Oryzias latipes: one gene and its partner. The protein of the gene in region 2 purifies or fractionates together with the protein of the main gene of each other region. This does not show direct contact. Links are inferred from orthologs where the notes say so. Each region holds a gene or a part of one and is shown on either strand. Other genes may lie near its edges.

Region 1 (3,754 bases), on a different chromosome or scaffold from region 2:
GCCGCTGGTCTGAGCTCAAGGAGGTCATTTACTCTAAACCGGGTTTTAAGCTCAGGCTGACAGTTTAACTTAGCAATTTGTGGCGATCGAAAACGGTCTTTCGCTGCTCCTGGACCTGTTTCTTCCAGCGCTGCTGTGCTCCCTCAACCCGCTCCAGCACCGTGTTTCCTCTGGCCTGCCCGCTGTCTGCCTGCGGACGCATCTCCTGCAAACGCAGACGTATGTTAAAACCGGCGGCATTCATAATGTACACCAATACATGTGATGTTTCTTTGCATGATTACCTCACTGTCTTCCTCGTTGTGCAGAGGCTGAGTGTAGGGGTCATGTTTCCGGATGAGAGGATCAACAAGGAGCAGGAACAGCATGTAGAGCAGCAATGCACCCACAACCGACAGGTAAATGATGATGGTTACCTGGAACATTTAGCAAACGGGTCACATAAAGATGTCATTTTGCAGCACATCACAAAAACAGGACATAACAAGCATTTCAATTTTATTTTTAGTAGGGGGGTGTATCTTTCCCACAAATCAATAAATGACAGGTTTTGTGGCAATACAATACAAAACGCAACAAAACAAAGATAAAATGCTTCAAACAATAAAAACTGGTATTCTGGGTCTTTTGGTTAAAAGGTGTCATAATAGGTATAGTTTGAAGACCCCAGCAAATCCGTTCAGGGGTCGCCAGCGACTCAGCTTTCACTGTTTTGCACACGTAGTCTGACAAAGATTTTTACGCCGGATACCCTCCCTGACACCAGCCTGTGTTTTATCCGGGCTGGAAACCAACATAGGGGGACCCAGACTTGGGGCCCCTTGTGGCAACACAGTTAGGCGGTAGCGCGAAGGGTTTTGCCCAAGGAATTTTGAAGGACGTTTGCTTTGAGGGAGGATACTGTAGGAGACAAACCACCGAAATCAAATGAAAGCCTGTAGTACCTTGATGGTGTTGCTACTTCGCTCCTCATACTTGCACTCACACAGCAGACAGTAAGCTTCTACATCATATCCAGGAACTGGCATCGGCTCAACAACATGGAGGCAGGTACTGCAATGAAAGCAAAGGTTTTCGTTAATATTTATACCTGCAAGGTAAGATTAAAGTGTGTAGGGCAACCTCATGAAAATGCAGACAAAAAGTCAGCATTTGTGTCAATTAAGTAATAAAAAGTAACTAAACCAATTCCCAAACTGTTTCTAAATTGATATTATTTAAATAATAGTAAATACATTTTAACAAAGTGATCTTACCAATCTTTCTGGGTAACATTCCTGTTATAAATGTTCCCACTGATGTTTCTGTATGGTGGACAGATGCACTTGCAGCGAACATCTTCAAAGTTCTGCAACATCAAGGATAATAAGAAGAGAGTTTTAAATCCTGGTTCTGGGCTGCATGTGAATCTTATTTCCCTGTTCCAGGCTGCACCTGATTCAGGTGATTAGTTCTTCATCCGGGTCTGATAAAGCAGTCAAAAAGATCGGACTTTGAAACAAGCCACGTGGGTTTATTTACAGTTGTTTACAATACAGCAGAAAGCATAATCAGAACTGAAGTGTCCCTGATTTCATTTATTAGACAAATTGATTTTAAAAAAAAGTATGGATTATCATGTAAATATTTATGATAAAAATATGTATTTTGCAAACACAAGAAGTAGTATCCAGGATGATTGTCATAGGATATGATAAGCTAAAACAACACATTTCCCTTGTTTCACCTTAGCGTCTGCAACAGCACCAGCATCCAGAAGAAACACAGTCACGACTGTAGCAGCTAAGAAGCTCAAAGGTCCGTATTTGTCAAACATCTCCCTGCTGGATCGGAAAGTTCTCCACTGACGCCCTGTCAAAACACCAAATGCTAGCAGTTAGCACAGCTAGCATCTAGCTACGGTGTAAACAACGACGGAAACGGCTGGGGGGGGGGGGGGGGTGACAACCATTTATTTTTGTCGCTTTTTTTTGGTAAGAAATCGTAAAATACAAAACAACTTTGGTCAATTTTAAAACAACTCGTTAACTCACGTGTTCACAGCTCGTCAGCAGCGTATTCGTGTTGTGCATTCAGGACGCAGCTCTAGCACGAATCGCAGAGCTTGAAAAAAAAGCTGTAATTGCTGAAATGAGCTGTTCTTCCTGGATCCGGACTATCGTCACGGAACTGTGGAACTGGACCGACAGCGCCATCTGCTGGACAGATACGGAAGGTCCCTTATTATTCAGAATTGCACATGAAATGTCGCCAATTCAGCTTCTCCTTTGTTTAACCCTTGTGCTAACTTAGATGACCCCACCCTTACATTGACGTGTTGTCCTACCATGACAAAGGAGGATAAAGGTGTAAAGATTTCATGTAATCCATGGACACCAGTGAAGATCACAAATCATTGAAGAAAAAAGGTTCAGAGCACTGTCTAGTGGGTCTAGATGACCCAACTCCCAATGTTAAAGTGCCTAAAACAGCCTTGCTTTAACCCTTGTGCTATACAAGGGTTAAAGCAAGGCCGTTTTAAACAACAAGCAAATTAATTATGTAACTAAAATTATATTTACCTTTTTTCAAAAATCAACTGAATAATAAAAACTAATTGCCATTTTTAACACTATTTTTTAGTTAAGATATGATGACAATGATTTTTAAAAGAATTGTGATATTTGAATGACTTAATGTCCCATTCCAATCATCTTTTGATCTTACGTAAAAGCATTCCCATTGGTCTTTTAGTTATGATTATGCCATTTTTAACCCAATAAAAACAACTGTCGCTTTCAAGGACATGGTTTCTGCAGAGCAGTAGTAGGTCATTAGAACTCTGCCTCTGAGTTGTGGACAGGATTGTTGGTGCCCTCATTTTCCATCATCCCTTTGTTTAGGTGCTCTCCAGCTTGCAGCCCTTCACAACCCCAACCTAACATTTGTGTTGCACAAAAAGTGGTGAGCAATATCGGAGCTATCCAGGCGCACAGTTTTGAGCTACATTTCAGCCTGGAGGAGAAAAACGAACACATACTGTATATGGATCTATTTGTCTCCAAGTGGATGCATCAGAATGGAGCAGCGCAGGCAGCTTCTGGCCTGCCGACTGTAGACTATGTCACTGCTACCTGCTTTTTCCTACGGCATTTTAACGTCTGCTCCTGATTGACATCAATTTGAATAAAGAAATATGCAGAAATACAATTACAGCTTGATTTTCCTTATATGACCTCCATCATGAGAAAAAATGATACAAGAACATGTTAAAACACCAGAAAGTATATTTTCATTGGAGTGGGTCTTTAACAAAAATCATGAGTAGTCTGGATGGTCCACTATCTGTATGCTAAAAGAGACATTTTTCATGTTGCAACATAAAGTAATCTGTTATTGTTACAGTATTTTATTATTTTCACAATTGACATGATTCCCATGTCCAATTTTCCCCCTTTATTTAAAACCTGAGCCTTAGTGTCTTGGTGCAATCGATATTCCCATTTCCAGGTAATCCTGCCTTCATGCCTCTGTGTGTAGTAAGATACTCTTACCGTTAATAAACCGTCTAAATCAATGAGTTGCAAGATCAACCTGAACCACTTGGGTCTGTTGCCATGCAGATCGATTAAAACTATGACCCCCCACACCCTCCGCAAGCAATGCTTTTAGCACAAATGAAAACATACAGACAAAAAATTTAAGCAATCTTCGAAGCAACCATAGGAAAACAGCAATAAAATGATACGAAAGAACGTTTTCTTAAAGTTTTTAA
Region 2 (3,754 bases):
TTACTCTAATATCGCAGTTCCAACAAGAAGAGGAGTTCGGACCACTGGCTGCATGTTCGGACAACAGCCGTTCGTAATTGTTGGTAGGGTGACGTCATATTGGTCATCTGTCGCAGTGTTTACATCGCTTAAGTCAATAAAGGTTGAATTGAAATTTACAAATGCACTAATCTTTTCCTCACTGATCGACCTATGCACCTCCACTTTAGTTTCGCCTTTGATAGATTATGTTTTCCTTTCAGTAGAGCATAGAAAATGACGAAGCAAAGGTAGTTTTATTTAGAATGCTAACGCAGAGAAAACGACAAAGGTATGGAAGTTTAACAGGAAATACACATTACAGACTACAAAATAAAGCTGCAGAGTTTCACTGAAAATAAATAAAATGCATACTTTTTTTAATTTAAACACACGTAGACACACAAACAAAGATTTAAGCTATACTTTATTCAAAATGAACTTTATAAGGAAAAAGGTCCGTTAAAATAATTGTTGAGGATGGAACCGGAAGTTTTGGGTTGTATGATAATTGTCGCTTAACAATCGTCTAAATAGCAGAATAAACATAAACGGTGGAATGAATACGAATGTTAACACTGTTTGACGGCGTTTACTTCCTTTTTAAACAACTGTTGTGTTTCGTGTCTGTACTTTTATTGAAACCAGCTGTTTTTCGTCCGGATAATGATGCTGAATTTGCACGTATCCGTTAAGTTTACACGGGTTCCTGCTGCTGACATAAGCGGGTCCCGCTGAAGCAGGCGGCGGGGCAAATCTGAAGTCACAAGACTTCCTGGAGCTAAGCGGTTGTTATCTCCTGTAAAGGTACGGTACAGCATTATTTTCACCGCTTTAGAACCATTTTTCTCCCTGTGAAATAAAAGAAACACATCAAAGACACGTAAACAGAAAACATGAACTACTAATTAAGTTAGTCTGGTGCTAAATCTAGTCTTCCTTTTTATATTTTTAGCTAAGCAGCACAGCACCAAACAACGACCAACAAATCAGCTTATTAGCTTCAGTGACATAGTTACTAGCTATAATATTTTTGAAGTACAGCCTCACGGCTTACTAAAAAGTAAAAGAGGAAATAAGGGGCGGAAATGGAGATAAAAACTTCCTTTAGTGAAGTTGAAGAGTCGCAACTGCTGCCTGCGTTGATCATCAACTTGATGATGTGGGTGTTATGGCTAGCTTTGGGGCCGATGGATTTACATTTGTGTCTTTTCTTTTAGAGAAAGCAAAAAAAAGTTAGAATCCTCCCCCCCCCCCCCCTTATTACTTTGAGTGACAATGTTCAGGTGGTCGAGCATACAGGGAAGACCTGTCCGAAACAATGACACAGGTATTGACAGCTTTAGCTCAAGCTAAGTTAATGCAGCGCGTGGAGGGTAAACATGCACTCTGTTGTGCTGCAAACAGGGTCCAGAACCATGGAGAACCCCGGATACCGAACCGGGAGCTATGATACCCTTCATCACTCCAGTGATGATGATGACGACGAGATGGTGGACATCGCAGGTGCCACGCTGGACTTCTCCACAACGGACGACATACCTTCTCTCAGCTCAGGTAAGTCCAGCGGTTGAACAAAAAAACACCAGCAGGACAGGTAGATAAACTTAGATAATATGTAGAACCAGAATAGACAAATACTGCACATGGTCACATTTTTATGGTTATTTCTTTAACAGAACTTAGCAGATATGGAATTGAGTGTTTAATCTGCTTTTGGTAACTTTGACCTTAGTTCACATGTCACTGCCGTCTATTTCAATGAAAAACGCCCACAGCTTCACTTTGGTTGGACATTGCTTGATTTAAGTATAAAGATGTTTAATCTATTACTTTAATGTTATATGCAATTTCAACTCCAATAATCTTTTGAACTATTATCAAACTGTTCCCAGTTGGGTTTTAATGAGGATTATTCCAATTTTAAGCAAAATCGAAAAACCTGTGTTGTTTTCTAGGACATAGGTTCTGCAGAGCGGCAGTAGTTCAGTAGAAATTTGCCTCTGAGTTGTGGGTGGGAGCATTGGTTCAGTGTAAGCCTTCCCATCATCCCTTTGTTTCCATGCTATTTTGCTAGCTTACAGCCCCTCACACCCCTAACTTAACACTCCGGTGCAACAGAAATGGGGAGTGCGTCGGAATGGATCGAAGCAGAAAGCTTGTGGCCTGCTGTAGTAGTTTTTACTACAAGCTTTTTACAACTGCATTTTGTTGTCTGCTCTTGATTCTGCACTATTTGAATAAAGAAATAAGCAGAAATGCAAATTTAACCTTAATTTTCTTTATGTCCGTCATTAGAAAATGCCACAAGAACCTTTTTAAAACTTAAAATTTTCTTTGGCAGGGGTCTTTAAGCAGCAGCGTCTGCCTACATATTCCTTTTTTTGCTATCTCATTATTTGAGTATTTCATTTTGGATCAATGTGTTCATATTCACCGTGTGAACATGTTAGAATTGTGTTGTTCCTCTGACATGTTGGGTTTTTGTTGACCTCATAATTGATCTAAACTCCAATGCTGATGTCATGTTACCGTCATTGTGTATGTGATGAACTCACACTTTTCTTGGTCTGATAAGCTGGATTTGACAGATCAGGTTATAGGAAATCAGAATTCAGAGTTCCTCTGGGATCTCAGAAGTTCTTGAGACTTCCCTCTGCTGTGCGTAATTTAGTTATTTGGATGGCTGATGACAGACAGCACGAGTTGGCAGCACATAAGACTTGCAAATAAACTGTTGGGGATTTCTTTTCAGCACAATGAAGTTAAAATATATTATTCGGAAGTTGCATTAAACACCAAGCACAAGCTACTTAGCATGCTGGGCTGACATGTGAGAACAATAACATGTCCCTGTTGAGAATGTTGTAGTTTAGATTCCATGAGAAACATTGATCATGACCGGAGATCCAAAAGTTCTGATTTGGAACCTTGACTCTTGCAGCGGCTTCCTGATGTTTCCCCGGTTACTGGTGATGTCATCACATTACTTCTCCACCTCCTAAAACAGCAGCCTTAGCACATAAGGGTTTCTTCTGAAAGAATTAAGTTTGTGACTCCACAGACTCTTTCAAGCAGGTGAAATCATGACTTAATTCATGATATTAGTTCAGGTTTTGCACCATTTCTTTGAATTTTTTATGTCTTTTTTTCATTGGACAGCTGCATGAGTTATGATTTCTCAGCTTTTGTGTATAATATAAAAACAATTATCTATGATTTTCATTGTAATAGTACACCCTAGCTGTGAAGTGAAACCGTGTATTTTTTATTTTTTTGTCATTTAAATCTCTTGATTGCTCTAAATCATTGACTGTATACTAAATAACTGGACGAATGGCGTGTGATGTCACCCATAGAAAATGCCTTGCTTCTGGTGTAGGTACAATATGTGTTTGTCCTGCCAGATCAGCACGGGGGATTGCAAATGGTAATGATGTCACACTACGGTAACGGCACTTGGACAAACTACTTGTAGGCTGTGTCTGAATTCCTACCCTACTCCCTAACTACTGAAAAACGATATAGTGCAGGACTACCTAGTGCCCTGGCTTTTCAAAAGCAATTGGGACACAATGCTCACTGCAGTTTTTTTTTTTAAACGGAAAAAATGTCACCGATTTCACGAAGCAGAAATCGAATCAATATGAGCGTTTCACTACGACTCTTGATGAATCCCCTGTGTTGTGATGTTGAAAATGCTGATTGATTATTAAAAACTACATTTAAACACATT

Evidence for each region. The genes of interacting proteins can lie anywhere in the genome.
Region 1: the proteins of clcn5 (region 2) and tmem9 purify together in Homo sapiens (co-immunoprecipitation; 3 studies listed by BioGRID and IntAct, with this or other methods). This does not show direct contact. The link is inferred for Oryzias latipes from reciprocal best matches to the Homo sapiens genes CLCN5 and TMEM9.

Annotation. Positions count from the first base shown.
Region 1 is NC_019865.2:11,958,774-11,962,527, forward strand, and holds the start of tmem9 (transmembrane protein 9), read right to left. Parts: upstream 2,170-3,754; 5' UTR 2,034-2,169; intron 1,852-2,033; 5' UTR 1,817-1,851; coding exon 1,727-1,816; intron 1,349-1,726; coding exon 1,257-1,348; intron 1,054-1,256; coding exon 945-1,053; intron 417-944; coding exon 285-416; intron 206-284; coding exon 65-205; 3' UTR 1-64. UniProt on the Homo sapiens protein: Transmembrane protein that binds to and facilitates the assembly of lysosomal proton-transporting V-type ATPase (v-ATPase), resulting in enhanced lysosomal acidification and trafficking.
Region 2 is NC_019876.2:21,114,028-21,117,781, reverse strand, and holds the start of clcn5 (H(+)/Cl(-) exchange transporter 5), read left to right. Parts: upstream 1-1,220; 5' UTR 1,221-1,296; coding exon 1,297-1,348; intron 1,349-1,425; coding exon 1,426-1,575; intron 1,576-3,754. UniProt on the Homo sapiens protein: Proton-coupled chloride transporter. Functions as antiport system and exchanges chloride ions against protons. Important for normal acidification of the endosome lumen. May play an important role in renal tubular function.